Linked DNA regions of Sus scrofa. The protein of the gene in region 6 purifies or fractionates together with the protein of the main gene of each other region. This does not show direct contact. Links are inferred from orthologs where the notes say so. Each region holds a gene or a part of one and is shown on either strand. Other genes may lie near its edges.

Evidence for each region.
Region 1: the proteins of SAP30 (region 6) and SAP130 purify together in Homo sapiens (affinity purification with mass spectrometry; 4 studies listed by BioGRID and IntAct, with this or other methods). This does not show direct contact. The link is inferred for Sus scrofa from reciprocal best matches to the Homo sapiens genes SAP30 and SAP130.
Region 2: the proteins of SAP30 (region 6) and ARID4A purify together in Homo sapiens (affinity purification with mass spectrometry; 5 studies listed by BioGRID and IntAct, with this or other methods). This does not show direct contact. The link is inferred for Sus scrofa from reciprocal best matches to the Homo sapiens genes SAP30 and ARID4A.
Region 3: the proteins of SAP30 (region 6) and SIN3B purify together in Homo sapiens (affinity purification with mass spectrometry; 4 studies listed by BioGRID and IntAct, with this or other methods). This does not show direct contact. The link is inferred for Sus scrofa from reciprocal best matches to the Homo sapiens genes SAP30 and SIN3B.
Region 4: the proteins of SAP30 (region 6) and RBBP7 purify together in Homo sapiens (affinity purification with mass spectrometry; 10 studies listed by BioGRID and IntAct, counting the BioPlex papers as one, with this or other methods). This does not show direct contact. The link is inferred for Sus scrofa from reciprocal best matches to the Homo sapiens genes SAP30 and RBBP7.
Region 5: the proteins of SAP30 (region 6) and BRMS1 purify together in Homo sapiens (affinity purification with mass spectrometry; 3 studies listed by BioGRID and IntAct, with this or other methods). This does not show direct contact. The link is inferred for Sus scrofa from reciprocal best matches to the Homo sapiens genes SAP30 and BRMS1.
Region 7: the proteins of SAP30 (region 6) and SUDS3 purify together in Homo sapiens (affinity purification with mass spectrometry; 4 studies listed by BioGRID and IntAct, with this or other methods). This does not show direct contact. The link is inferred for Sus scrofa from reciprocal best matches to the Homo sapiens genes SAP30 and SUDS3.

What each region holds. Positions count from the first base shown.
Region 1 is NC_010457.5:59,386,810-59,390,309, reverse strand, and holds part of SAP130 (histone deacetylase complex subunit SAP130), read right to left. Parts: intron 2,953-3,500; coding exon 2,594-2,952; intron 1-2,593. UniProt on the Homo sapiens protein: Acts as a transcriptional repressor. May function in the assembly and/or enzymatic activity of the mSin3A corepressor complex or in mediating interactions between the complex and other regulatory complexes.
Region 2 is NC_010443.5:187,430,354-187,433,853, forward strand, and holds part of ARID4A (AT-rich interactive domain-containing protein 4A), read left to right. Parts: intron 1-133; coding exon 134-384; intron 385-3,101; coding exon 3,102-3,299; intron 3,300-3,500.
Region 3 is NC_010444.4:60,788,861-60,792,996, reverse strand, and holds the start of SIN3B (paired amphipathic helix protein Sin3b), read left to right. Parts: upstream 1-1,336; 5' UTR 1,337-1,391; coding exon 1,392-1,499; intron 1,500-1,734; coding exon 1,735-1,841; intron 1,842-3,157; coding exon 3,158-3,311; intron 3,312-3,857; exon of another isoform or gene 3,858-3,922; intron 3,923-4,136.
Region 4 is NC_010461.5:13,296,150-13,299,520, reverse strand, and holds part of RBBP7 (histone-binding protein RBBP7), read left to right. Parts: coding exon 1-114; intron 115-226; coding exon 227-304; intron 305-871; coding exon 872-948; intron 949-2,239; coding exon 2,240-2,297; intron 2,298-3,371. UniProt on the Homo sapiens protein: Core histone-binding subunit that may target chromatin remodeling factors, histone acetyltransferases and histone deacetylases to their histone substrates in a manner that is regulated by nucleosomal DNA.
Region 5 is NC_010444.4:6,044,771-6,048,876, forward strand, and holds the start of BRMS1 (breast cancer metastasis-suppressor 1), read left to right. Parts: upstream 1-1,306; 5' UTR 1,307-1,457; intron 1,458-4,106. UniProt on the Homo sapiens protein: Transcriptional repressor. Down-regulates transcription activation by NF-kappa-B by promoting the deacetylation of RELA at 'Lys-310'. Promotes HDAC1 binding to promoter regions.
Region 6 is NC_010456.5:16,679,133-16,683,418, reverse strand, and holds the start of SAP30 (histone deacetylase complex subunit SAP30), read left to right. Parts: upstream 1-1,486; 5' UTR 1,487-1,795; coding exon 1,796-2,113; intron 2,114-3,656; coding exon 3,657-3,782; intron 3,783-4,286. UniProt on the Homo sapiens protein: Involved in the functional recruitment of the Sin3-histone deacetylase complex (HDAC) to a specific subset of N-CoR corepressor complexes. Capable of transcription repression by N-CoR.
Region 7 is NC_010456.5:34,314,277-34,318,365, forward strand, and holds the start of SUDS3 (sin3 histone deacetylase corepressor complex component SDS3), read right to left. Parts: upstream 2,801-4,089; 5' UTR 2,646-2,800; coding exon 2,510-2,645; intron 593-2,509; coding exon 523-592; intron 1-522.

The DNA.
Region 1 (3,500 bases), on a different chromosome or scaffold from region 6:
CTCTCCTCTGGCCCCTGCATTGAGTCTCCTTTGCTGGCTCTGCCTCCTCTCCCTCCTCAAAATGGTGCACTGCCCCAGGGCTCAGTTCACAACTGCTAGTTTCTTATCAGCGCTCATTCCTCAGGTGAGCTTATCCAGGCTCATGGATTTAAACATAATTCATAAATACAAGGACAACTTCCCAATTTCTATTTGCAACTTAATTTTCTTCCAAAAGCTAGGCTCACAGATCCAACTGCCTACCTGATGTGTCCATCTGAGGTCTAACAGAGGCCTCCCACTCACCACAGCAAAAACCAACTCCTAACCTCTCCCTATACAACAGAGTCCCTGCACCCTCTCCTGTCTCAGCAAGCGGCACCTCTATGTTTCCAGTTACTACGACCAAAACCTTTATCGTTGCCTCTGACGCCAGTCTCTCACTTACAACATCCAATCTTTGAAGAAGTCCTCTCCGTTCCACACCAACAGTCTATCTAGACTGTCACCACTTCATACCACGTGACTGCTACCCTGGTTGAAACCTTCACTGCCTCCTGAAATTAATGCACCAGCCTCTGAACATGTCCCCCTAAGGTGACCCTTGTTCCCACAGTCTTTCCCCACAGGGCAGCGACTGGTCTGTTATAACTGAGCTCAACTCCCTTCTCTGCTCAGAACCCGTCTAATAGCTCCCCACCGCCCTTAGCAAAGTCAAAGTCCTTACAGAGGTCCAAGGCTCTCACAATCCTGACCTGTTTCTCCCACTGCCCTTACTCACTCAGCTCATCTAACACTGCCTCTTTGCTATTCTTTGAGCACGCGAGGCATGTTCCTATCTTTGGCTTTTACATTTACTGCTCTCTTGGTCTGAACTGCTTTTTATCTATATATCCTCGTGGCCAGCATTTCATCTCTTTAATGTCTCTACTCAGAGACCATTTCCTCAAGTAAGGCCTTCCCTTTAAAACACTTTTAAAAATCACAGCTCTAGCCCTAATTTTCCCTTATACTTTGTCCCTGCTTTATTTTACTGTCTATTGTCCTTGCTATAATGTAAGCTCTAAGAGGATGGCGACGTGCTTGTTTTGAACAAGCTTGTATCGTGCATGTCTGGTGCCACGCCCTTCACAGTGTGAGGAATGACTACTGCCAGCCTCCTGGTACAGAAGGGTAAGAGGAACTATCCAGAACAATGAGAGAGATGGACAGCAAGATCGAGACTATTTTATTTCCCCTCCAGGGTTTATGCACGTCTTTCAACGGAATTGCTGAGGCTAAACATGGGTACCACGGAAGGGTACTTCATGGTATGATTAATGACAATAAATAAGGAAATAAATACATAGCAGGTTTCCTTTTCAGGGCTGCACTTGTGGTACATGGAAGTTCCCAGGCTAGGGATCAAACTGGAGCTGCACCTGCCGGTCTACACCACAGCCACAACAACACGGGATCCAAGCAACGTGGGAAACCTTGTGGATACTAGCTGGATTCTTAACCCACTGAGCCACAATGGGAACTCGTTTTTTCTTCTTTTTTTCTGTGGCAGGTTTAACAGCTGTAGACATAGCATGGCCACACCTCTTAACTAAAAGGACAGCAAGAGATGGGGGCCGTCATGCCAAAATGGTAAGAGGGTGATATGTGGTAACTACAGCACCAAGTTACTTACTTTCCACTTTGGTTTTGTCTGTGTTTCATCAGTATCATACACTGAATGTTACATTCATAGTCAGGAAAAATTAAGATTCCATAATAAATTGTTAAAAAAACAGAAAACAAAACAAATGAAAAGAAAACCTCCAAAGTGACCTGCCTTTTACAAACTAAAAGTTTAGAGCTAGGAAGAAAGAAAAGGGGTAATGGTAGTTAAATCTTAGTTTTAAGATTTAACTAATCACAAATAAGTTTAGAACTATTTTCAACAATACAAATTTTACTTTATTGCACATACATGGCAACAAAAATTGTCAGGGGATAAATTGTAAATTACTTACCCCTCTGCTATAATCACATTGTGATCCCTTTTTACATGGCAGTATTTTCTTTTCCTTTTTCTTTTTTTTGTCTTTTTAGGGCCATGCCTGCGGCATATGAAGGTTCCCAGGCTAGGGGTCTAGTCGGAGCTGCAGCTGCTGGCCTACACCACAGTCATATAGCAATGCCAGATCTGAGCTGTGTCTGCAACCTACACCACAGCTCACGGCAATGCTGGATCCTTAACCCACTGAGTGAGGCCAGGGATCAAACCCACAACCTCATGGTTCCTAGTCAGATTCGTTTCTGCTGTGCCGCAACGGGAACTCCAACATGGCAACATTTTCTTAATGAGTACAAGAGGCTATGCGTAAAGATATTCTTAGGGAAATAATAATCTTTTTCATGATTTTGGTAAGAAAATTAATTATAAAAGGGCAGCAAAATGGTTTTAGTTTTCAAAAGGCACTTTATGCTTCTTCTATTTATTAAAAACTAATAAAATACAAGTATAAAATGGGCATCAAGGAGTCAGGCTTCCTGCCTGAGGGTCACACAAGAGTTTGGACTCAGGAGATTTAGAGAATGGGGAAGAAGCAATTGCCAATTAAGAGTATTCTGATAATGAACTTACCGGAAACCGGTCTCATGATGTCCATTGGTTCCACTTCTTCTTTAACTTTTATTTCAGGAACAGGAGGGCCCAAAACGGAGGAGAGACTGCCACCTACTGCTGCTGATGGTGGAGGGGCAGCTGCAATGGTAGTGATGGGTGGAGTGATGGGAACTGCTCCAGGAATGGTTGGAAGGGCGACGGCTGGTTGTGATGGGGGGCTAGCTGCTGTAATCATGGTTGGAATGGTTGGTGGAGGCTGCTGGGCGGTGGGTGGGACTGCGATGGTGGGCTGATCAGTATTTTGATTGGATATGGTCTCCATTGACACAGTGACTGGAGTGGCCATAGATACATGGATTTCTGACTTGGGTTTGGCACTGAAATACAAAAGCAAAGATGATGTAGAAAGCAAGAACAAACTTTGGAGCATCACAGAAAATTAGTTATTTGTGCAATTGTTTTTGTACAACAAACAGCACAACTAAAACTCTATTCCTTGATTTAACTAAATTAAATAATTAATTTATTTTTTGCTTTTTAGGGCCACACCTGTGGCATACAGAGGTTCCCAGGTTAGGGGTCGAACTTGGAGCTGCAGCTGCCAGCCTATGCCACAGCCACAGCAATGTGGGATCTGAGCCGCGTCTGTGACCTACACCACAGCTCATGGAAATGCCAGATCCTTAACCCATTAAGCAAGGCCAGGGATCGAACCCACAACCTCATGGTTCCTAGTTGGCTTCATTTCCGCTGCACCACAATGGGAACTCCATAATCCTTGATTTTAAAAATGAACTTAAAGGTAACTTTGAAAAGGAATTCAAGTTTTAAAATTATCTCCACCTTGGAGTTCCTGTTGTGGTGCAGTGAAAACAAATCTGACCAGGAACCATGAGGATGGGGGTTCAATCCCTGGCCTCACCCA
Region 2 (3,500 bases), on a different chromosome or scaffold from region 6:
GGGTTGTCAGTGTCATGTCCCAGCCAGAGAAAAGACTAGTCCTTGCTGTGAAGGTTTAAGAAAAGGATACATTCTTCTACTTCTTCCCTCTTTGGTAGTGACAGTTATTTTAAAGCTTTTATCCACCTTTTAGGGACGACGGAGAATTGCTCGAGATGCAAATTCTATTAAAAAGGAAATTGAGGAAGAGAAAACAGAAGACAAATTAAAAGATAATGATACAGAAAATAAGGATGTAGATGATGACTGTGAAACTGCAGAGAAAAAAGAAAATGAGCTGCTACTGGGGAGAAAAAATACACCAAAGCAAAAGGAGAAGAAAATTAAAAAGCAGGAGGATTCTGACAAAGACTCAGAAGAAGAGGAAGAGAAAAGCCAAGAGAGGTACATTATCTTATATTTGTTCTCCAGAAGCACCTGTTTGGGGCACAGCAGTGCTCTGTTCCTGCTTAGAGATTCAGGTTTGAGGGAATGTTTTCTTCTTGGGACTTCCGTTCCTCTTGTCTAATGAAGGTGAGACACATTATGAAGATGATGTGTATTGCCTTATGGAATTGGAGAATATACTGGTCGCACCATTTTAATAGCACTTGTGCCCCAAACAGTGGCCTCAAAGAAGGCTGCGCCACCCAGTCAAAAGAAAGGTCCTGCAGTTGACAGCAGGGAAGGGAGCTGGAGAAAAATGGAGGAAGTGGACAAGAGGAAACAGCGACAGCAAAAATTCCATTTTAAAAAAGGTACAATGTGGGAAAGCTAACAAGCACATGGGTGCACAGTACTAGCAGATGTTTCTGTGTGTTAGCTTTATCTAAGATATTTTTCTTTTTCAAGTTACTGTATTAGAATAAGTGGCATGCACCCCTGATTCTAGTTTGGAAAATACATTCTTTCCCCACATCACAATTAAATTTTGGCTTTTTAATGTCCATCCTGTTTGCTGTTGAGTGAAAACTGATTGGTTTTGTTTTTTTTTTCTCCCATGTATTATACATGTATGGACTGAACTGACTTAAAAATAACCAAAGATTAGGCAGGCCAGCTAGATCAAAGTAATGTCCAACTGTGTTCAGTTGGCCATTTCTGTGTTGCCACATGGATTTACTAATTTTTAGAGACTACTAAAAAATGAATTTTAATTCACAACAACAGCATAACACACTTACTTGTATAGAAGCTCTCCTCTATGGTTATTTTTTGACTATTTGATGGTAAATTTTCTAGAAATTTGAGTTGTTAAAGCAAAATTGGGGAAAGTGGCCTGCTGCCTCCAACTAGTGGCTGACACTCATCTGAAAATTAACCATTGAGAACGTAATTGGAAAAATAGGAATGATTGGTGAGTGGGAGATGTAATTTTATGATTCATTACAGAAAGGTGCAGGAGCTATCACAATTACATGTGAATTAGATTAGTGAATAAAGAAAGTTTTGTAGTGAAATATGATTAGGATTAGGGAAGGTGGGAGGAAATAATTGGAGTTGAGTATAATAATATGAGTGTGGTATTTTAAATATTTGGACAATGAATTTATGCAAAGGTAAACCACTGAAAAAGGCCTAATTATAGTTTGAAGATTTGTTAAAAATAAGCATCACAATGTGTCTATTTTATAATATCTCTATAATACATAAAACATGTAATATACACATATAAACACATGATGTGGTTTAAAAAGCCTTAATATGGGAATTCCCATCGTGGCGCAGTGGTTAACAAATCCGACTAGGAACCATGAGGTTTCGGGTTCGATCCCTGGCCTTGCTCAGTGGGTTAGGGATCCAGCGTTGCCGTGAGCTGTGGTGTGTAGGTCACAGACGTGGCTCGGATCCCCTGATGCTATGGCTCTGGCATAGGCTGGAGGCTACAACTCCGATTCAACCCCTAGCCTGGGAACCTCCATATGTCGCAGGAGTGGCCCTAGAAAAGGCAAAAAGAAAAAAAAAAAAAAATCCTTAATATGTAAATAAAACAAGTATTTTAGAGACAAAAAAAGTCCTATACTTGACATTTCATTAAAAATTCCCATTTCTTTTTATTAAATAAAAATTGAATATACAAATATAGTCTGTATTTTCATTCAATAGCAGGAATCATGGAAATGGGAAACTTTTTTATCTTTAGAGATTTGTGATTTAAGTAGTTTCTTCTGGTGTTTTGAAATTACCTTATCAGGATATAATTGGAAGGTGCCCCTGGAAAGAAAACATTCCCACTGCTAATGGGTTGTTGAAATTTCTTCATGTTGGGACCCCCAGTGGTCCCTAAAGAATGCCCTATGCTTGTCATAGAGCACAGTACTTCCTCTTAAGCCTGTAAAACTCTAGAATGACCTTTGATGCAGATCTCTTCTGAATCCTTGCAGGGCTAATAAAGAATGTTTTATTTGTAAAAATACTGTTGGACCTCCCTGTGTGAGTCTCCTTTATACCTGATTATCAAAACATGGAAAAACTGATGGGAGACATGTAAAAACAAATGGAAACCAACAGGATATGCAAAGCTTTGTTCCCCTGGTGCTATTATCCCATGGTTCTTAACCAGTGACTAATATGCAAATAGCTATTGTTTCTTTGTTAGGATGGGGAAAACTTTAAAATATAAACTAGTTTAAAAGATGGAGTTAGCCCTTGCTCCCTATTTTGCCCAGCAAAAATCTAGTCTTAGTTGAAAACCATTCTGAATTGAGCAGAAAGTAAATAGTAAAGGAGATTTTAATTGCAGAAAGTTACAAACTATCTTTAGATCATTTTCACATATAAGGTGGCACTTGAGTATGAATCCTAAAAACTTTTACAAAGCATGTCATTCTTATTTTATAAAAAGTGATTTGACCCTGCATCACATTAACTGTGATTATTGACTGGCCTTTAAGAAATATGGATTGACTTTTGGCACAGTGCACCTTTACATAATAAATAAATTCTTTAGTAAGTAGTCTATAAAAATCTTCTCCTTCTCCTCCTTCTTCTCCTCCTCCACTGACATGTTATTAAGGTGACACTTAGGTTGTGACTCTTGTACATGTTGGATTCTTTTAGCATAGTTATATTCTTTTCCATTAAGTTATTAGTATTATTATCAATGTTATAATTTGCCGCAGGGAAGAAACTGAAAGCAAATGTGACTCTGAAGGGGAGGAAGATGAGGAAGACACAGAACCCTGCCTAACAGGAACCAAAGTGAAAGTAAAATATGGACGAGGAAAAACACAGAAAATCTATGAAGCCAGTATTAAAAGCACTGAAATTGACGATGGAGAAGTTTTATATTTGGTACATTACTATGGATGGAACGTCAGGTAAGCAGGAAATGTCTTTTCTTTTTTGAAATTTCTTTCGTTGATTCAAAAAGATCAGTTTACTCTTTTGACGAACTAAATCAAACAGTATATATGTATTTATAAAGCACCCCTTCTATCTGGGTTTTCCAAGATGTCTAACATTCTCACTGTTTTACTAGCTATGTCAGTTCTTTCAGCCAGAGGTTACCAGGTTCACAT
Region 3 (4,136 bases), on a different chromosome or scaffold from region 6:
AACCTACACCACAGCCTTAGCAACTCAAGATCCAAGCTGCATCTGTGACCTACACCACAGCTCACAGCAATGCCAGATCCTTAACCCACTGAGTGAGGCCAGGGATCGAACCCAAAACCTCATGGTTCCTAGTTGGATTCATTTCCACTGTGCCATGACAGGAATTCCCAATAACTATTATATTTGTATGTTCTCTCTGAAGTATTTGTTACAAGTGAGCTTTACATCTATGTATGTGATTATTTGATTCCAATCCTCTTGAAAGGCTGATGGCTCTGTGAGTGTAAAAGCCTGGTCGGTTTTGTTCACCCTTCTACTCCTGACCCCTGGCAAATGATGCACTTGTTGCCAATGTATTCTCAGCTTTCCTGCACCTCTTCACACATTGAAAAAAAAGATACTGGAGTTCCCATTGTGGCTCAGTGGTTAATGAATCCGAACATGAGGTTGTGGGTTTGATCCCTAGCCTTGCTCAGTGGGTAAGGAGCTGGTGTTGCCATGAGCTGTGGTGTAGGTCACAGACGCGGCTTGGATCTGGCATTGCTGTGACTCTGGCGTAGGCCAGCAGCTGCAGCTCCAATTAGACCCCTAGCCTGGGAACCTCCCTATGCTGCGGGTGCGGCCCTAAAAAGACAAAAGACAAAAAAAGAAAAAGAAATAGGAAGACCTTGGAGGTTTGGAAGCAGCTATGGAATGATAGTTCTTGATAGCACTGGGGCTGGAAAAACTGGTTAAGAGGCTCCCGAACCAGTGGGAGGGTCCAGTGGGGAAGTGATAGGGTCAGGAACCAAAGGCTCCAGTGGGGAAGTCATGGGGTCAGGACTAGAGAAGCGAAGAGAGGAGGAACAGGACTAAGTCAAGAGCAATTTGGCAAACCCCGTGGCCCTGAACTAGGGTGCTGTGTGCCCATACCAGGTTGTCACATCAACCCTACAAGTACGAGTCAAGAACATTTTATTATATATCAGGCTGTGTAGATCTTAGCGTCTGTCGCAGTTATTCACCCCGCTGTTGTACTGCAAAATTAGCCAGAGATGACAGGTAAACAAGTGGGCATGCCTATGTTCCAATAAAACTTTATTTTTGCAGACACTGAAATTTAAATTTCATAGAATTTTCACGTGTCACGGAATAGTCTTCTCCCTTGGATTTTTCTTCCAACTTTTAAAATTGTAAAAATTATTCCGATCTTGCTTTGGGGGCCAGACAGAAGCAGGCGGCAGGTTTTGGTTTGCTCACAGTGGTATATGTCAGGACAGTCGCGTTTCAGTTTTATGGGGTAAGATCCTACCGCAGAGTCCTTGAAAGAGCCCCGCCTTCAGGGCGGAGCCAGCGCATGCGCGGCCGGCCCCCGGGCGGGGGCGGGGCGGGCTGTGGCTCCGACTTCCAACATGGCGCACGCTGGCGGTGGCGGCGGCGGCGGCCCAGCGGGCCGGGGGCTGAGCGGGGCCCGCTGGGGTCGCTCGGGCTCTGCGGGCCATGAGAAGCTGCCAGTGCACGTGAGTGGCGCCCCAGCTCTCCCTCGAGCACCCCGTCGTCCAGTTCCCGCAGGCCGGCGCCCCCCACCCAAGCCCCGCCCGGCCCCGGCCCCGCCTCGGCCTCCTCTCCGCGCAGCCCCAGACCCCCGACTCCCCACCTCCGCTCCTTGAGGCCCAGCCGGTTGCCCCTCCCGCCAGGGTCCCCCGCCCCCTCCTCCGCAGACCGCGGCCCACCTGGACTTTCCCCTCCCCGCAGGTGGAGGACGCCCTCACCTACCTGGACCAGGTGAAGATCCGTTTCGGCAGCGACCCTGCCACTTACAACGGCTTCCTGGAGATCATGAAGGAATTCAAAAGCCAGAGGTACCTGCCGGGCCCCTGCCCACCCCAGGGGACCGTCCTGGGCCGCAGTCAGCCTGAGCTGGGTGGGAGCCCCTTACCCTGGCTGCCCCATGACGGGGTGACCTTGCCCAGGTGGTCAGAACTTAGCGGATCCTCAGTTCCTTCTTAAAAAAAAAAAAAAACTGGGACGGGAGGGACCCCCCGGGAGGGACCCCCCCCCCTTCACCCGCCCCGCCGTGGCCCTGTTGTGGGGATTCCTGGACCGAGGGCAGGGATGGGGTGAGGCAAGTGAGCAAACACAGGGTAGGATCCCGTCTTTACTCAAAATGTTGATTTTTAAGTGAATTTCATTTTTCGAGGCTTTTTAAAAGTTAATTTTTATCTTTTGATCAAGCAGTGCATGAAAATGTTATTAATTTTGGTTATCGACCGTATTGGCACTGTGTCCCTCTTAAATCTTATCCCCAAGGTGAGTTCCTCACTCCCTTCACTCCAGTCCCAGGCCTACTTGAAGTAATGCGCACAAAATGCTTAGTAAGGAATCTGGCACTAAGAAGGCATTTAAAACATGTTAGCTGTTTTCACAGGCACTGAATCAGGAGGGTTAGAGATAGATGGGAGACCTCCCTCCCGATGGTGCTCTTGTTGGAAAGGATGCTCATTGAGGCTTAGAGTGGGTCAAGGGGTTGTCCAGACCCACCTTAGGGGCAGAGGCGGGACCAGAACTGGTTCTGTCTGACTTAGATTCGCCAGTGTCACATCCCCTCCGTGCTGCTTCTCCCTCTAAGGAAACAGGGTAGGGCCCACCTGGTTGCCTTCCACAGGCACAAGGCTAAAGCCTTGGCCCTGACTGCAGCCCTGAGGGAGACCCCATCTCTGCCCTCCGATTCTTATGCCACTTCCATACTTGCATGGCCTTTGCATTATAGTCAGTTGCTGGGAACAACTCCAGTGTCATAGTCCATCTCTAATTCATGCGAAATGGAGGAATTTATCTCCCCTTTAGAGGGTTTTGACATGTCACTTCTTGGAGCCCACAATTTAAAATTGGCTCTCCTGACATTTTCAGAACCTAGCACATGTGCTTGCAGTGTTTTGGGAGCCGTGCTGTGTACATATTCTGTGGATTTTGCCAGGAAGGCACTGGGAGCCCAGGCCTGGCTGCCTTAGCAGCGGATCACCACCAGCAGAATCACTCCAGTCACATTTTAGGGTGGTTGGTTCTTTGTCCGTTGAGAAGCTTGTGACATGGCACGGTTAAGGGAGTCACGAGTAGATTTCTCTTTTAATCTGCTCCCCAGGACGCCTCTGCCCACTCTTGTTCTTCTTTGTTCTAGTATCGATACTCCAGGAGTCATCCGGCGAGTGTCACAGCTATTCCACGAACACCCTGACCTCATTGTCGGATTCAACGCTTTCCTTCCTCTCGGCTACAGAATAGACATTCCCAAGAATGGCAAGTTAAACATACAGTCGCCTCTGTCGAGCCAGGTATGCGGCTGCCGTGGTTTGAATGATCTGACCTTAGCACAGCCCACCCTGGTACGCAGGCCGGGCAGCGTGTCTCGTGTACTTCATTGCTAGAAAGGTGGTGAAGATCTGGTCTTTTTCCTGAAATGCTTCTAACGCAAATCAAAATAGATCAAAACACCTACCCAGGCAGGCTCTGCATCCCAAATTGATCCTTTTGGCAGATTTAAATCAGGAGTGGATGTGTTTGTGCGTGCCAGGGAGGCATTCTTCTAACACAGTTTTATGTCCAGTCAAGATAATTGTGTCCACAGTCACTGAAGTCTTGGTTGGAGGTTCTTCCTCTGAGTGCCTTAGGCAGGCCTCACTTGTACTTGGGCCTGTGGCCCCTTCTGATCACCCTCAGTGCCACCCACAAAATAAAAGCAGCAGAGGTGCATGTGTGACTAGCCATTTTTGTTGCTGTGCTTCATTTACCTGCTGACAGGATCATTGACTGAGCTCAGGCTTGTGGCTTTGGTCCCTTCTTTCTTAAATGACAGCTTGCTGCCTCTTCTGTCTCTGCAGTCCCTCCTTGCTTGAGCTCACCAGACTCCCTGAGAAAAAGCCTGTTTGAGCTTTACTTTTCTAAGGTAACCATTGTCTTTTTCTCTCCTCGACCCTGTTGCCGTGTAAGGCATAACACTTTGCTGTGGGGGTGTTGTCCAGGGCATCATGGAGTGTTTAGCAGTGTCCCTGGCCTCCACCCACTAGATCCCCACCCAGTCAAGACAGCTAAAAATGTCTCCAGACATAGCCAAGTGTCTCCTGCGGGCAAAATTACTGCGTTGAGAACCACTGGTGTAA
Region 4 (3,371 bases), on a different chromosome or scaffold from region 6:
TCCAATACCACCTCCAAGCCGAGCCACCTGGTGGATGCACACACCGCCGAGGTCAATTGCCTGTCGTTCAATCCCTACAGCGAGTTCATTCTCGCCACTGGCTCTGCGGATAAGGTTTCTCAATTTTTGCATACTTGGTATTTTATGAACGCCCTTGTCTTGTCCTGTAACACCTGAACTTTCTTACGTAACGTGAAGAAACGAATTCCTTTTTATTGTTCTTCAGACTGTAGCTTTATGGGACCTGCGTAATTTAAAATTGAAACTCCATACCTTCGAATCTCATAAAGATGAAATTTTCCAGGTAAGTGACAGTTTTCTGGTGTTTGTGTCAGATTTTCATAACTTTTTGGTAGAGGGAAATTAAAAAAGATTTCTCCTTTTATACGGTCAGCATAGAACACGGTGTTTTATTTTTTAAGCTCCTCTTCCACTATATAAATGGGAAATAATGTGGAGGTTTTTTAGAAACTATTAGTTCAGAGGTAGAAGAAAAATCTTGCAAAACAGGATCCATTGAAAAAATGAAATCCAAGAATTCTTCCTTGAAGGTATGTCAGCATAGTGGGTTCTCTAGTGAAAAAATACCTTGTATATGGTTGAAAATTGAGATTTTCACTTCATTGAAAGATTTTGAAGCTTCTGGGGTGGTTTTGGGGCCGAATAAGTGTGTTGGACCCTTAGCTGAGTTTCCCTGTGTTTTGGAGAGATGGGCCACTTTGAGTGCCTGAAAGGATAGGACAAGGAGGGTGAGGGCCTGTAGGCCAAGGCGAGGCTACCGTGCACGAAATGGGAACATACCCAGGATTAGAACAAAATCCACCAACTTTGGAATGGATGAGTCTTTACATTTGCAAATGTAAACTTGCAGGTCCACTGGTCTCCACATAATGAAACTATTCTGGCTTCAAGTGGTACTGATCGCCGTCTGAACGTGTGGGATTTAAGGTAACTCAGAATCTCGTGACAAGAAATTGCATAAATATGCTAATCTGGCAGGTTATGTAATAATTCATAAACTAGCAGAGCAATTTGCTAACCCCATTAATAAGTCTAAAAGTAATTTTAAGTGCCTTCCTGAAGAGTCTTTGTTCCATAAAATAGAAGCGAATCAGCATTGGTCTGTAAAATAAATGTATGCCAACGTGAGTTTTGTGTCTCTGTGCCTACTCAGGCCTGACGTTGGGGTACGGGGTGGCGGGGGGTGTGACATCCGTATGTTGGGTTTCACAACCCGCTTGCTGTGGAAAGAAAGCGTAAAGGCGTCGGCGCCTCCTGTTTCATTGGATCTCACGTCCACCTGCAGCACTGGTCTCCGTTTTTCTCCCGTTTGCTGTTCTGTGCTTTCGTTGACTGTTTTCTCAGGGATGAACCCGGGCTGTGGGTTGTGTAAGTGCTGAGGATGAACTGGGACGCCAGCACAGCCCATGCTGCCAGAGAGGTCATGTTCTTTTGGGGACTCACCGTGGTCCCAACTCTCAATTCCCTGACTACAGAGTTGCTATTCTAAGAATTTCAGACGCCTTTGGGGTTTTTTTAGCCTTTAGAGCCATAGATGATGTTGCACAGTTCCGTACATTCCCCCAAGATGTTCTTATCTCAAGTTCACATCATGAAAATGCCGAAAGTAACTTCATTCCTACCTGTGTTGCTTTGACTTTGCTTTGACATGGACTAAGTTTTTAGTCCAGATTGCCTTCATTATCGAGACAGGAGGCCCCCTCTTCAGTGTACGGAACAGAGACACTGAGGAGAAAATGTTTGTATGTAAAAATTCTAAACAGCCAATGTTCCATGTTCTTATGGCCATGATAGATGCTGGGAAATGTAGAGAATCTTTAAAACAAGCATTTCAGTATATTCTTTTTCATTTGAAAACAATTTTAGTAGTAAAATTAGAAACCTAAAACAAGGAGTTCCCATTGCGGCTCAGTGCTAATGAACCCACCTCATATCCATGAGGATGTAGGTTCGATCCCTGGCCTCGCTCAGTGGGTTAAGGATCCGGTGTTGCTATGAGCTGTGGTGGAGGTCGCAGAAGTGGCTCAGATCCCGTGTTGCAGGCCAGTGGCTACAGCTCCAGTTCAACTCCCAGTCTGGGAACCTCCACATGCTGTGGGTGCGGCCCTAAAAAGCAAAAATAAAGAAAGAATAAGATGTGATGTCTGGGCTGATGCTGGCTTTGCAAATACTCCTGCTATAAGAACTTCAGTAACGAAGGCATGTTCTTTCTTAATAGCAAAATTGGAGAAGAACAGTCGGCAGAAGACGCAGAAGATGGGCCTCCAGAACTCCTGGTGTGTACTGGCTTTCCTCATACAAGATGAAATGTCATGTGGACATTGGCCTGTTTATCATTGTTTCGCATCTCTGGAAAATGAGTCAAAAACCTCAAATTTCACCTCTTAAAGATGATTTCAAATTGGAAGCGCTAGAGGTTATCGTGATAGGGTTTTGGCGTTTATTAAAAATAGTAAATAGAGCCCAGTGGATTTTTACCAATATTTCAGTGAGAAGAATTTAGGCTCCTGGCAAATAGTGTATAGTAATTTCTCCCTGGTTCTCAGTAATAATGTTTCTGAGGGTTTAGTGGGGCGGGGCTTTGATGCTGTTAGCAGGACTTAACACTTTCTCACAGTGTGAAAAAACGGTATGACCTGACTTGTAAGTTCCTTGCTCAGAAAAATGAATGCTTCCCCGATCTTTCACCTGTTCCTAATTAAATTATTTTGGCATCTCCTCAGCCCTTTGAAGGTTTACGAGGTGGTATCTGTCCTGTCCTGTCCTTCTGTCTCAGTCCTTCGTTGTACACTTGAAGTCCCTTTTCTGGGAAGCGTTGCCAGTCGTTTGGCAGAATCGCTTGTTCCTCTGTTCCGCGTACTTAGCTCTTAGACCAGTACGAATTCGCTTTGTACACTTGGGCTTTGCCCACCACTTGTAAAGAAGGCTGTCGAGGGTGAGCCCTGCTCGCAGAAGAGGCTTGCTAAAGCCGGCGCACTGTGCCCATCGGGGAGCCTCTGCTCCTGTCCGCTGTTCCCATGCCCTGCAGCACTGGATTGTGGCAAAGACACACCAGCGTATTTCGTGTTAACATAGTGCTGCAGTTTTTTTTTACTTTAGTAATACCTTTATTGATGAATATTTGGCAGGACATACAACGAACTGTTTTTAGAGTAAACACTGCCGTGGTTTTTAGTAGTTCATAGAGTTGGACAGCCATCACAAGTCTGTTTTAGAACATTTTTGTCCCCTTGTAAAGAAAGTGTGCCCTTTACCTCTTGGCCCCCAGGCTTCTCCTTTCACCAGCCCCTGGCCACCTCTGATCTACTTTCTGTCTCTAGATGTACCTGTTCTAGACATTTCATATGAAA
Region 5 (4,106 bases), on a different chromosome or scaffold from region 6:
GCCCTGGATGGAAAGGAGCCAGTGAGGCAGGAGGGATCATAGTTTAGGAGGTGGCTGGATGGCTGAAAGATCCAGGATGCCTCCAGAGGAATGGGCATGCTGGAGTGAGCAGTGATGTCCGTCTCTGGCCTGGGAACCTCATCAAACTTTGCTGACCTATTTCTCCCTCCACAGGCTTGTGAGTTGCACGTGGCAGGATTCGATTTTGAGGTGCTGAACGAAGGTTTCCTGGTTCATAAAGGCTTCAAAGAAGCTTTGAAATTCCACCCCCAAAAGGAGGCCGAAAATCAGCACAATAAGATCCTTTACCGTCAGTTCAAGCAGGAGTTGAAGGCCAAGTACCCCGACTCCCCACGTCACTGCTGAGCCCTTCCTTCCCCTAGTCTGAGAAGTCTCAGCCTCCTCCCTCCTTAGGCCGCCCCTCAGGCCTGACTGGGGTAAGAAACGTCACTCCACTTTACAGTGGTAGCTGTGGTGTTTGAACACTGGACTTGAATATGGGGTGCTGGGATCAAGTCCTAGCTTAACCACTAACTAGCTGTGTGGCCTTGAGCAAATCCCGTTCTCTCTCTGAGCCTCAGTTACCCCGTCTGTAAAAGGGAGGTGAGAATACCTACCTCACAGAACTGCTGGGAGGCTCAGATGAGATGCTATATGTGAAAACATTCTGTAAGCTTCGTACAAATGTGAAGTATTATTAATATTATTACAGTATTATTATTGTTGTTATTATTATTGTTATTATTATTAACAATCTTGGGTGGGTGAGCAGTAGGAGAGCAAAAAGTATGAATGGGGGCAGAGCTGAGAAGTCTGAGTAGTTAACAAAATGGGCTTTTTGGAAAGAAATCAGATGAAGGCGTTGAATTTAGTTCTTAGCTTTTGGGCAGAAGCCGAAACTTCCTGGTGTCTTAGGCCTCCGTCCCGGGGGCTCTAGAGAAGGGAAGGATCTGCAGGTTCTGTGCGTCTGAGATCTGTACCCTTGAATAGCCTGGGCTGGGTGATTTGCCTACCGACTACAATGTGTAAATAAATGAGTGTTCACACCTACAGCTGGCTCCATTACTCTCCGGAACCGGGCGGGGGTGGGGGCCGCGGGTCGCAGGTTCTCCCCTTTCGCGCCGCCGGGAGGTGACTGTGGACCCAGACGCGAGGGCTGCAAAGCTAGGAAGGCACAAGGGCCTTTCCTGCATGCTGAAAGCCTGTGTGAATGTCGGTCCGTTGCCATGGAAACCGTCCCGCGGTATCCCAGCATGCCTCGCCCCAGCTATCCAATTGTGAGCACTCCGATGGGCGCCTCCTGATGACGCATGCGGAAAGCGCGGGTAGGCCCCGCCCCCGGAGAAGAGGGACCGGTGCGGCGCTTCCGGGACCCCCACAGCGGCAGCCAGTACCGATAACCTCCGGCACCTCTTGGGGAATCTAAGACGTGAGGCTGGAAGCGCCACTACCTACGGGTGCGTAACGCCAACCCTGGCGCCTGGTTTGCCCTTTCGGACAGGCAGTCGGAGCCTGCCCAATATCCAGGGCGGTAGCGAGACTTAACCGCCCGGACGCGAGCTGGGGCCGCGGGACCGAGGAGCCAGTGACTCTCCCGCCCGCTCCGCCGCGTACGGAGATGGAGCGGGGCGCGAGGCTCTGGGTGCGCCGTGGAGGGACTGGGTCGGCTTCTTCGAGGGTGGGGAAGAATCTTCCTTCCTACGAGGCGTGCCCTTGACATGCTCGCTTTCTGAAAAGATAAATTGCATGTGCACAGCACCTTATAGTTTGCTTTTCGATCCCTTACCTCTTGCCATCTTTACAACACCCAGAGTAGTGATGGTTATCCTCATTTTGTACCCGGGCTAAAGTGGGGAGGATGTGATTTAATTTGGCTCTCTCAGTAGACCCAGAGACTGGTGGAGAGAGACCTCCCCCCAAGCCCCGCCCTCTCTGGTCCAGAAAGGTGGGACTTACCCCGAGTTGTTAAAATATATTTAACAGTGAAGAGAAATTGCAAAGTTTGGGAACTCCAGGAACTGAGGCTTGAAAAAGGGAAAGAGGAGGCTGATTTGGAGAACCGAGGTTTTCAGCTCAGGTTCAGATCATTTGTGAAATCCTTGAGGAATGCTTTGAAACGGCCCTCTAGGCCAGTCAGTTTACTCAAACTGATGTCAAGGAAAGGTGACAAAACACTTTGGGTTTGCTACCACTGTAGGGACCAGGGGCTACTAAGAAAGCCATTTCCTGCCCTGCAAAAATGTGTTTTGTTTAATTTGCATTCGCAAATCCTCCAGTGGTCTAGTGAGTCAGTACTGCGCGGGGTGGGTAAAGCGCGTGTGCAGCCCTGCCCTGGGGAGGCTCACAGACAGGCATGAGGATGGGCAACAGACGTGGAAATAAATAAGGAGGGGCATCTACGCGGATCTGAAGGACTACAAAGTACCCAGAGGAAAACATCCGGTGAAGTAGAAACCCCTTTAGTCAGAAATGATCTATTGAGACTGTTTAGTCTTCCTCTTGGGCGATCTTTTGGCAGCATTTGGCACTGTCTCATCTCCTTCATTCTGAAATTCTCTCTCTCCCCCTATACTCTGACTTTTTCCTCCTCTGTCTCTTGCTAATTTCCTTCTCCTTTCCTGGCATCTTGTCATCTGCCCCTTTGATGACCCTAGAAGTTCCATCATGAACTCCTTCTCACTCCACACATTCTGCCTTGCTGGTTGCACCCTCTCCCAAGGCCTGAAGAACTCACGATGTGATGACCAGATCTCTGCAGCCCACATTTCTCTGTGAGGCTTAGACCCATGGACCCCCAGCCCTGCCCCCTTCTCTCCTCTTGGGGTGTTTGCACCTGCTACTCACTCTACTTAGAATGCACCCTCTCTTGACCAGCTCAGCTCATCTGTCTGGCCCATCTTCCTCTGCAGGCCCTCACTGCTGCAGCAGGCTCCAGGTCCCAGTTAGATGCCTCTCCCGTAAGCCCCTGGTCTTAACTCTTCTCACCCCACAGCAACAGTCTGTTTCTTAGCCTTTCTGTCCCAGGAACTTGTAAACTCCTTGAGGTCAGAGACTGTCGCACCTGTGCCCAGCTCCTACCATAGTGTCTGCTGCTACCTAGCATGTATTAGATCTTCAGTAAATATTAAATGAGTGACTAAAAGAAGGAATGCTTAAGACTGTTCAGTTTGCTGAGAAGTCAACCTAAGATAAGCACCAAAAAATACTGGCATTAGGTACGAGGAGTTCGTCAGTTAACTCTACAGGATGGGCTTCAGCTGAGAGTGATGATACAGGAACAGAACAAGTGGGAGGTGGGCGAGTAGGAATAGCAAGTGTCCACAAGGCCTTGAAAAGTAGCCATGAGGTGGAAAACGGCGAGCAGTGGGGTGGGGTGAGGTTTTGTGTTTCTGCTTTCTCTCTCTGGTGGTAGATACCTGAGCACGTCTGACGTTCTCTGGGAGGAGCTGTCAGGAGCGAGAGTTGAAGATGCATAAGGGAGAGGGCAGCACTGAGGACATGAGATCATGAAGGAAGCAGGAGATAGGATTTGAGCCCAGTGAGAACACAAGCATCGTAGAGTGTTCTCAGGAAGAGAAGTGGAGGGCGGTGTAGGCAGAAGAATAGCACAGGAGTTCCCGTCGTGGCGCAGCAGAAAGGAATCTGACTGGGAACCATGAGGTTTCGGGTTCAATCCCTGGTCTCGCTCAGTGGGTTAAGGATCCAGCATTGCCGTGAGCTGTGGTGTAGGTCGCAGACGCAGCTTGGATCTGGCGTTGCTGTAGCTGTGGTGTAGGCCAACGTCTACAGCTCCAATTGGACCCCTGGCCTGGGAATCTCCATATGCTGCGAATATGGCTCTAAAAAGACCAAAAAAAGAAAAAAAGAAAGAAAGAATAGCGCCGTGGGCGTTAGGGCTGGTGGGGAAGTGCGTGGTATATTTGAGAACTGGCCAGCAGATGGTGGGGTGAAGGAGCTGGACCGGTGATTCAAGTCCAGTCTGTGCAGGGCCTTGGAAGCCCGGATCAGAAGTTTGGGCCCAGGAGTTCCCATTGTGGCTCAGCAGTAACAAACCTGACGAGTCTCCATGAGGATGTGGGTTCACTCCCTGGCCTCGTTCAGTGGGT
Region 6 (4,286 bases):
AGTCTTTGAAATCCTGCTTCTAGTTTTCACTTACCACACATCTCAGTTGAGATGCTAAATTCAGATTTCACAAAATTTTTAAGAAAAAAAAGATTCTTATCCAAGTTGTTCCTATTTAATAATTCTCTGATTACTGAAATCAGTATTAAATATTTAAATGAGGTAAAATTAACAATTCAGTTTTTCATTCACAAAAAACACAAGTGCTCAATATACACATAAGGCAAGCGGACACCCTACTGGACAGTGCAGCTGGAAAAGCTAACACCACTCAGTATCTTTCTTTTACCCACTCCATTTATTTATTTTTTCTTCCTTTCTTTACCCTAGGACAGAAGTGCACAGATGGACTGGATGGCTTTGAATTTCAGTGCAGATGACACTTTACATTTTAAATAACCATCTATAAATAAGTTCACTCCGTAAATATAAAAGAACTTTCAAAAAACCTAATCGCTTTCTATTTTTGTTTAAACAATGTAATTGTTAAACAGGATATACATACTGACAAATAATGAAGCGGTGCAACCAGCAAAGGTGCAGCTTTCGTACCAGCCTCTCCCATCCCTCCACCCCGACCTCCACAGACACGCGTCCACACGCACGCATACACACGCGTGCTCACGGAAGATGCGGCCCCTCCCACCCCATGCCCTTGGGGCAGGGCGAGTGCCGGCAGCCTCAGGAACGGTTAGACCAGCTCCCGGTTCCCCGGAAAAGAAAGCTGCCCCGTTAAGTCCACACGTCAGCAGCTCCACCTCTGGAGGCAGCGGACAGAGTGCACGTCCCTCGCAGGGACAATGCGAGGATTTGGCAGCGGCCTCTAGCCAGGCATTAGCGATGCGGCCGAGCGCGCGGAGAGGCGGGGTCACGGGGGTCGGGACCAGCGTTCCCCACCTCAGGCAGGCGCCCTAATGGACAATTTGGGGCGTCAGTTGGTGGAGATGCCCTCCAGATCCCTTGGTGTTAGCTGCGGGACCTGGAGGGCCCGGAAAACGCCAGGGCGCCCATCTTCCTTGGTTTGGGTTTCCCACAAAAACGGTATCACGGCAAAAACTTTTACCAGTGATACGAAAACGGCCCCAAAACTTTTTCCCACAGGCTCACTTCCCTCCCCTCCCACCCACGGCCCCTACGTTTTGTGCTACGCCTCCGGAGTTGAGTGACCTCTTCCTCTAGAATGCCAGCTCTGCAAAATCCTGGGAGCTAAACACAGCCTAACTTCCCGGGACAGACCAGAAGCCAGAAAACACAGCAACCCCCAACCACAAGTCCTTGTTTTCCCTGTGCTTTACACACAAAAAAGCCGGCCCGCCTCCGCGCGATGTATGCTGGGGTGAGTAGTCTCCCTAAACCGCGAAGCACTGGGTCATATTGGAGCTCGGGTTAACTCCCGGAAGGGGAACTACAATTCCCGTGGTGCCCTGCGGCAGAGTGGACGGGTTCGGGCTGGGCGAGGGCACAAAGCGCTTGCGCAAGTCGAGGACTGAAGAGAGGCGGAGGCGGAGGCGCCACGGTCCAACTGCTGAGGAGTCTCCATGTGACAGAGAGGGGTGTCCTAGCTCCAAACGACGCCCGACCGCGGTTCCCAACCACACACCTTGTGCCCTGTCCCGGCGCCAGCAGACAGCGGCAGGCCAGGGACCTCTGGTTTTGGGCGGAGGGCTCGGGCTCAGAGTGAATAGCTGCCGCCGCGCAGGTGTCTGAGGGACCGCTGAGACCCCGGCGTCTCCCGAGAGGCAAGCAGCGCGGCGAGCTGGGGCTTCTGTCAGCGCGGCGCCGCCAGCTCGGGGACATGAACGGCTTCACGCCAGAGGACATAAGCCGCGGCGGGGACGCAGCCGCTGCGGTGGCTGCCGTGGTCGCGGCCGCCGCCGCGGCCGCCGCCTCTGCAGGGAACGGGGCCGGAGCGGGCTCTGGAGCTGAGGTGCCCGGCGCCGGGGCGGTTTCGGTTGCGGGGCCCCCGGGGGCGGCCGGGCCGGGCCCCGGGCAGCTGTGTTGTTTGCGGGAGGACGGCGAGCGGTGCAGCCGGGCGGCGGGCAACGCCAGCTTCAGCAAGAGGATCCAGAAGAGCATCTCTCAGAAGAAGGTGAAGATCGAGCTGGATAAGAGCGTAAGTGGCGGCGGGACGGCCTGGCCTGGCTTGCCCTGCCCACCCTCTGGGCTCTCGGGAGCGGAGCCGACGCCAGGCGGGTAGGGGTGCAGGGGCCCAGAAGGGCGCAGCGCGAGCCGGTTCCGGGATCCTTAGTAGGAAGCAAACAACAAAGTGCTTCAGCCGGGACGGCAGCCCGAGCGGCACACTTGCGCGGCGGACCCGCTCCCCTCCTCCCCCGCCGAGGTAGGGGAGCGGAACAAAGAGGGCAGCTGCGCTGAGGCCCAGAGTAGTTTTCCCATAGCCCGGTAGCTCCTTCTGGAACCAGGTGTCTTTGTTCGGCTGCCCGAACTGGCGGCTGGCCCCGGGGAGTAGCTCCCGGTCTAGGGAAAGTGGAGTCCTGCCAGGACTGACGCCGCGGGCGAGGAGATCCAGTTCCTCGTCCCCCGCGCCGGGAGCCGGGCGCTCAGTGTCAGCATCTAGGGCCGCTGCTATCGACATGCGGAGCACGCAGCCTCCGCGGTTTTACCCTCGGTTTGGCAGCCATCAGGGTTTCTTTTTTCGTCCTTGTGCGGATCTGTTCTTTTGACCACCTATGAGGTTTTTATAAACAACCATTTCCACTTTTCGGAGCTTGAGCCGGCAGTATAAATAACAAGACGTCAGAACTAGCACACGTCCTGCATATTTTTAACTTGCACTTAGCTCAGAGGTTAATTTGAAAGCCTATTAGTTCTGCTTTCAATTATTTTTTTAAGGAGTAACTGTTAATGTACGACACCCAGTATTTCAGATGTTACTATACAGCTCTCAGGACAATGTAATAAAGTCTTTTTTGAAAAGTTTATTTGGGATATTTTCTGCGTGTTCTAACAGTTCCTTAGTCGTGTTCATGAGAACCTTTTCAGGTATACTTGTGTAATTTCACATTGCTTTGGTTGGAAAAACGTATCACAGACAAGTGCATTTACTTAATACTCAGAAAAATTTATGATTTAAATTTATCTAGAAAAAAATAAATTTATCTAGGGTATGAAATCAGTAGCTTATTTGTAAAAATGTGTAGTTTGTATCTGGATGATAATGTATTAAATTAGAAAAATTAGGAAGCATAGTTACGGTATTAACGATTTTTAAGTAGAGAAATATTATCAAATAGCAACATTGTGAACAATATCAATTTTCCATTGTTAAAAAAAACAGCATGACCTCACTAATCTAGTATACCATGGCTACTGTTTGATGACAGAATCATGAGGGTTGACATTTCTCTTTCCTTTGCATCTCTCTTAACCTTACAGGCACCCCTCTCCCCCCCACGTCTCCCACTCCCGCTCCACTCCCAGTCCTTTTAACAATATTACCAGACCATGGTATGGGTGGTATGTTTTAACTGGGTGCAGGACTTAAAAGAGTAGAAAAAAACAGTTCAGATTATCTTAACAGTGGCCTCTTTGGGCTGTTGTTTTTATTTTTGATAATTCACTGTGAATTATGCATTTTGCCAACACGTAGACACATTTTACGGCCATCATAAGTAGTCTCTGAAACTTTTCTGTTTCAGGCAAGACATCTTTACATTTGTGATTATCATAAAAACTTAATTCAGAGCGTTCGAAACAGAAGAAAGAGAAAAGGGAGTGATGATGATGGAGGAGATTCACCTGTTCAAGATATTGATACTCCAGAGGTAGATGAAAGTTTTGTATGTTAAATATAAAGCTTAAGTACTCCACTCTGAAAAATTTTATTTTAAAAATGAACAGATTTTTAAAAATACTTCAAGGACTTACCATTGTGGCTCAGTGGTTAGTGAATCTGGCTAGGAACCATGAGGTTGCACGTTCCATCCCTGGCCTTGCTCAGTGGGTTAAGGATCTGGCGATGCTGTGAGCTGTGGTGTAGGTCACAGAGGCAGCTCAGATCCTGCATTGCTGTGGCTCTGGCGTAGGCCGGCGGCTACAGCTTTGAATAGACCCCTAGTCTGGGAACCTCCATATGCTGTGGGAGCGGTCCCAGAAAAAAAATCAAAAAGACAAAATAATAATAATATTTCAAGCATTTGAACAGTCTGAAAATTGAAAACAAATTTAGCCAGTTAAATTAACAACTCTCATAGCTTTTTTGTCTTATAAGTTCTAAATTTTTTTAAAATTATTTTTTAATTTTTATTACAGCCTCACCTGTGGCATAT
Region 7 (4,089 bases), about 18 Mb from region 6:
CTCCTGTTACCCCTGGGATCATTTCCCTCCCAGGTTCTTTCTAGCCTACCTTCAAAAGATTCTTATCACAGGAAGACTGATTAAATGCGACAAATTTCAAGGGGAGAAACTACACACATACACATGGTCTCTGGAAACACTATGTGACAACAGTTCACACAAGGTCACTATTAAAGAGGCCCTGTTAATACAACATTTAACTCAACTATATTTCAATTTAAAAAAATGAAAATTAGGAGTTCCCGTTGTGGCTCAGTGGTTAACAAATCCGACTAGGAACCATGAGGTTGCGGGTTCGATCCCTGGCCTTGCTCGGCGTTGCTGTGGCTCTGGTGTAGGTTGGTGGCTACAGCTCCGATTTGACGCCAAGCCTGGGAACCTCCATATGCCGAGGGAGCGGCCCAAGAAATGGCCAAAAAAAAAATAAAATAAATAAAAATTAAAATTAAAACTTAAAAAACAAAAAAAAAGTGTCCTTGTCAATCCTGTGTTCCAAAGAAGAAATGTAAATATCATACTCACTGTTCCTTCATTTCTACATAGTCTTCCTCATCATGCTTTGCCAGGTCAGTTTCACTAGCATCCTCAGTGTCTAAGTAAAATTATAGAAGAAAAGTTTGTTACAATCATAATTCATAGAGTTGGTATCACCTGACAAGAGACATTTCATAAACTTCTATAAAATGAGTTTCTTCTCAATGCAGGCCTGGATGAAGACATCAGTGAAAAACATTACATCCAGTTACTTCAGAAAAAAACGCCATTTCCAACTTATACACAGCCAAATTTAAAGAGGATGCCTTTATCTGAAGTTCAGCCAGAAAACAGGGGGCATCAGACACAGCTGGTCATGGTCAAGGCTGCTCCTTGGGCAGAAACATCACTGGCAGTTCAGGAAAAGGAGATGTGGTATTAAGACTGGAAAACTACAGGCAGCAAGCCGTGTGCTCTACTCCAAAACAACCTACTATGTACATTCTCTACTGGTATATGCCCAGTCTGAACCCCTAGAAGATTTTACATCATATGTACAAAGGAAAATGGGAACCAACTAAATGAACTCCAATAACCAAAATATTTTCAAAGAGAGAAGGAATGAGATAAGAAGATCAGACACTGCTTCAGAATACTCTAAACATTATTTTTATAATAAGCAAATGGCTGGAGTGTCGACATAATTTCAAAAGCCCTACTTGGGGTGGGAGGGTAAGGGATCAAATTTTGCCTGGCTACTCCACCTTGTGGGCATTAAAAACAGTACAAGTGATTCACAGCCAAAATCTCTAGTAAAACCTTGTCTTCTTAGTTTAACCACATTGTAATTAATTCCTTCAACTTTGTATCTCCACATACAGTTGCCTTTTTTTAAAAAGGCTGTTGCAGATCCAATCCTCCACCTACCCTTTTCTCTCCCTACAGTGAAGAAGCCATCACTGAGCTGATGTGCACCAGCCACAGTACTTGGCACTTGGGGAAGAGAGATGAATAAAACATGCTCCAGATTCCAGACAGCTGGTCTAAGCTTTTGCTCCAAGGCCTATTTTGTGCCAGAATATTTCACCCACATGTTGGTCTCTCTTTATCTTTCTTTCTTCTCTCTTGTCCTTTTATGTTTCTTCCCCTTTCTCCTACTGCAGCCAACTCCTTCCTCAACTCCTCAAAAAGTGTTCCTCACACATGCCAAACTATAAAGCCCAGTTTGAAAAGCCAGGCTCTGAGAGTCAGTAAAACTAAGGTAAAGAGTTTGGAACTGAAAACACCACCTGAGCCATCACCAAGCAAATCTCTATCTCCTGCCCCCTGTACGGGTTTCCCCAATGGTGAAGACACCTGAGTATTTACCCAGGACTAGGTCAAGTGCTCTATGCCTGTATCTCATTTAATAATCGCACCAGGAAGTCAGCCCCATTGCAGTTGGGGAAACTGAAGCTCAGAAGCCTAAGTAAATTGTCTAATATCACTACGCTGGGTTCAGTGAGCCAAATTTAGACCTAATTCGATCTGGCTGATTCCAGGTTTCCTTCTCTGAACCCACCTGTACCGCACTAACCCAAGAAGGGCTGACTTAGGCATTTCCGGACGGCGGCAGCGGGGAGGGGAGGGGGGTGCACCCTGGGAACCAAGGAAGCCAAACTGGGCTTTACTCTGATCCTCTCAGGAACTAAAAAGAGTACACTCAGTTCATCCAATCAATGACTTTGTCCTTAAAACCAGTTTAGACCTAAGGTTCAGAGACAGTTGGGAGAAGAGGAGCAGAATCTTAAAGGGGCCTACAACTCTGACAACAGTTCCTTACGGCCCTTCTCGGCAAAACTGTATATACAAGTCCTCAAAGCTTCCCCTTCCCTGGGACCTGTCGCAGTAACTTCCGGGACCCGCTCTCCTCCCAGCTGCCCCTACAGGCGCCCCCAAGCCCCAGAGGTGGCCCCGCCCCCCCCGGGCAGCCCCACCCCCTCGCACTGCCGCCCACCCCGGCCCTGGGTAGCCCATCCAACGGGCTGGGTCCTACCTTCGTCGGACTCGCGGCCCCGGCAGCTGCGCTCGTCGTCCTCGGCGCTCTCCAGCTCTTCGTCCTCCTCAGGGTAGTACTCCGGAGCCGGCGGCGCTCCAGCCGGGGCTGGAGCCAGCAGTCCCGCAGCACTCATGTCGACTCTACCCGCAGTCGAGCGTGCCAGCTGGGGACCGCGGTCACCCGCCCTGCGGACTCCACGTCTGCCCAGCAGCGCCCGAGGGAGCCGCCGACCCGTAGAGCGGGAGCCGCGGCGACCCCTTCGCTGTCTTCGCCAAACTCCGCCCCTCGCGCCTGCTCCGGGCAACGGGGGCCTCGCGCCAGCGGCGACTTCCGGGTCGCGACCTGCCCGAGGACCGCCTGATTCCGCCATCCTAGAGGGAATGGAAAGGCAGATGAACATCCCCTTCGCCTTAGCCCCATCTCCTTCATTGCCGTCTTAAAAATCCTCCACGGGTGGGGGGAGGGGCGGAGACAGGCTCTCTGGGGTTAGGCAAATCCTTGGCCAGGCCCCACCGCGGCTAGGACCCCGAAGCTCAGCGGCCACTTCCGGAAATAGCCGCCAGGCGGCGCCTGGAGCCAAATCTAAAGAGGTGATCTTTAGGGACTTTGGAAAGCAGAGACTAAAGGGCTCTTTGCAGGTGGAGGTGGTCTCAAATTTAAACAGGTGAACAACATGAACCATCCAGGAAACCTTAACAGAGTTTGCGTGCTCAACCCAAGAAAAAGAGCCTGGCTCCTCGCCTGTCTAATTGGAGCTTTACTAAGAACTTAAATAAAGAAGATACTAAATTCCCCTTGGGGCGCAGCGGAAACGAATGCGAATCCGACTAGAGAACCGTGAAGTTGTGCGTTCGATTCCTGGCCTCGCTCCGTGGGTTAAGGATCCTGTATTGCTGTGGTGTAGGCCGCAGATGCAGTTTTCATCCCGAGTTGTGCCATAGGTCAGCAGCTGTAACTCTGATTCAACCGCTATCTTGGGAACCACCATATGCTGAGGGTGTGGCCCTAAAAAGCAAAAAAAAATAAAATAAAATTTAAAAAGATGTTAGTATTCCATCCTGGGGTCAGCAAAACCCAGTATTTTCCCAGTCAATGGGCATCCCTTCTGTTTGTACAGGTTGGTTCACTACGATGTTCTCCTGATTTTACAGATGAGAAAAGAGCTACCTCTTGTCTTAAAAACAAAAAATGGTATTGTACAAGGCTACCTTGTGTCTAACTCTCAGACCCAGGCCCTCTACAGTACAGCTGCCTCATATTTCTTAGAATATGAATTTTTTTTAAAAGGTAGCTTTCCCCAATGCAATAATTTGCTAACTCAACTCTCAGTTGAGCAAGTGGAGTATTTGCCTGCAGAAAGTTAATTAGGCTAAGACAGGAAGGTGCTTGCTGGTAATTTAGAAAACAAGCGCGTTGAATATCTGCATGAATCAGTTTATCTGATTACCTCTGAGTAGGAGACACTTGCTTAGTGAAAAAATTAAGGATGTCTCTTGTCTATTTGGGTGTAGCAAGAAAAGCGATAGAAGGGCCCAGAGATGTTTAATGGTTTGTCCAAAGTAACCCCACTCCTTACT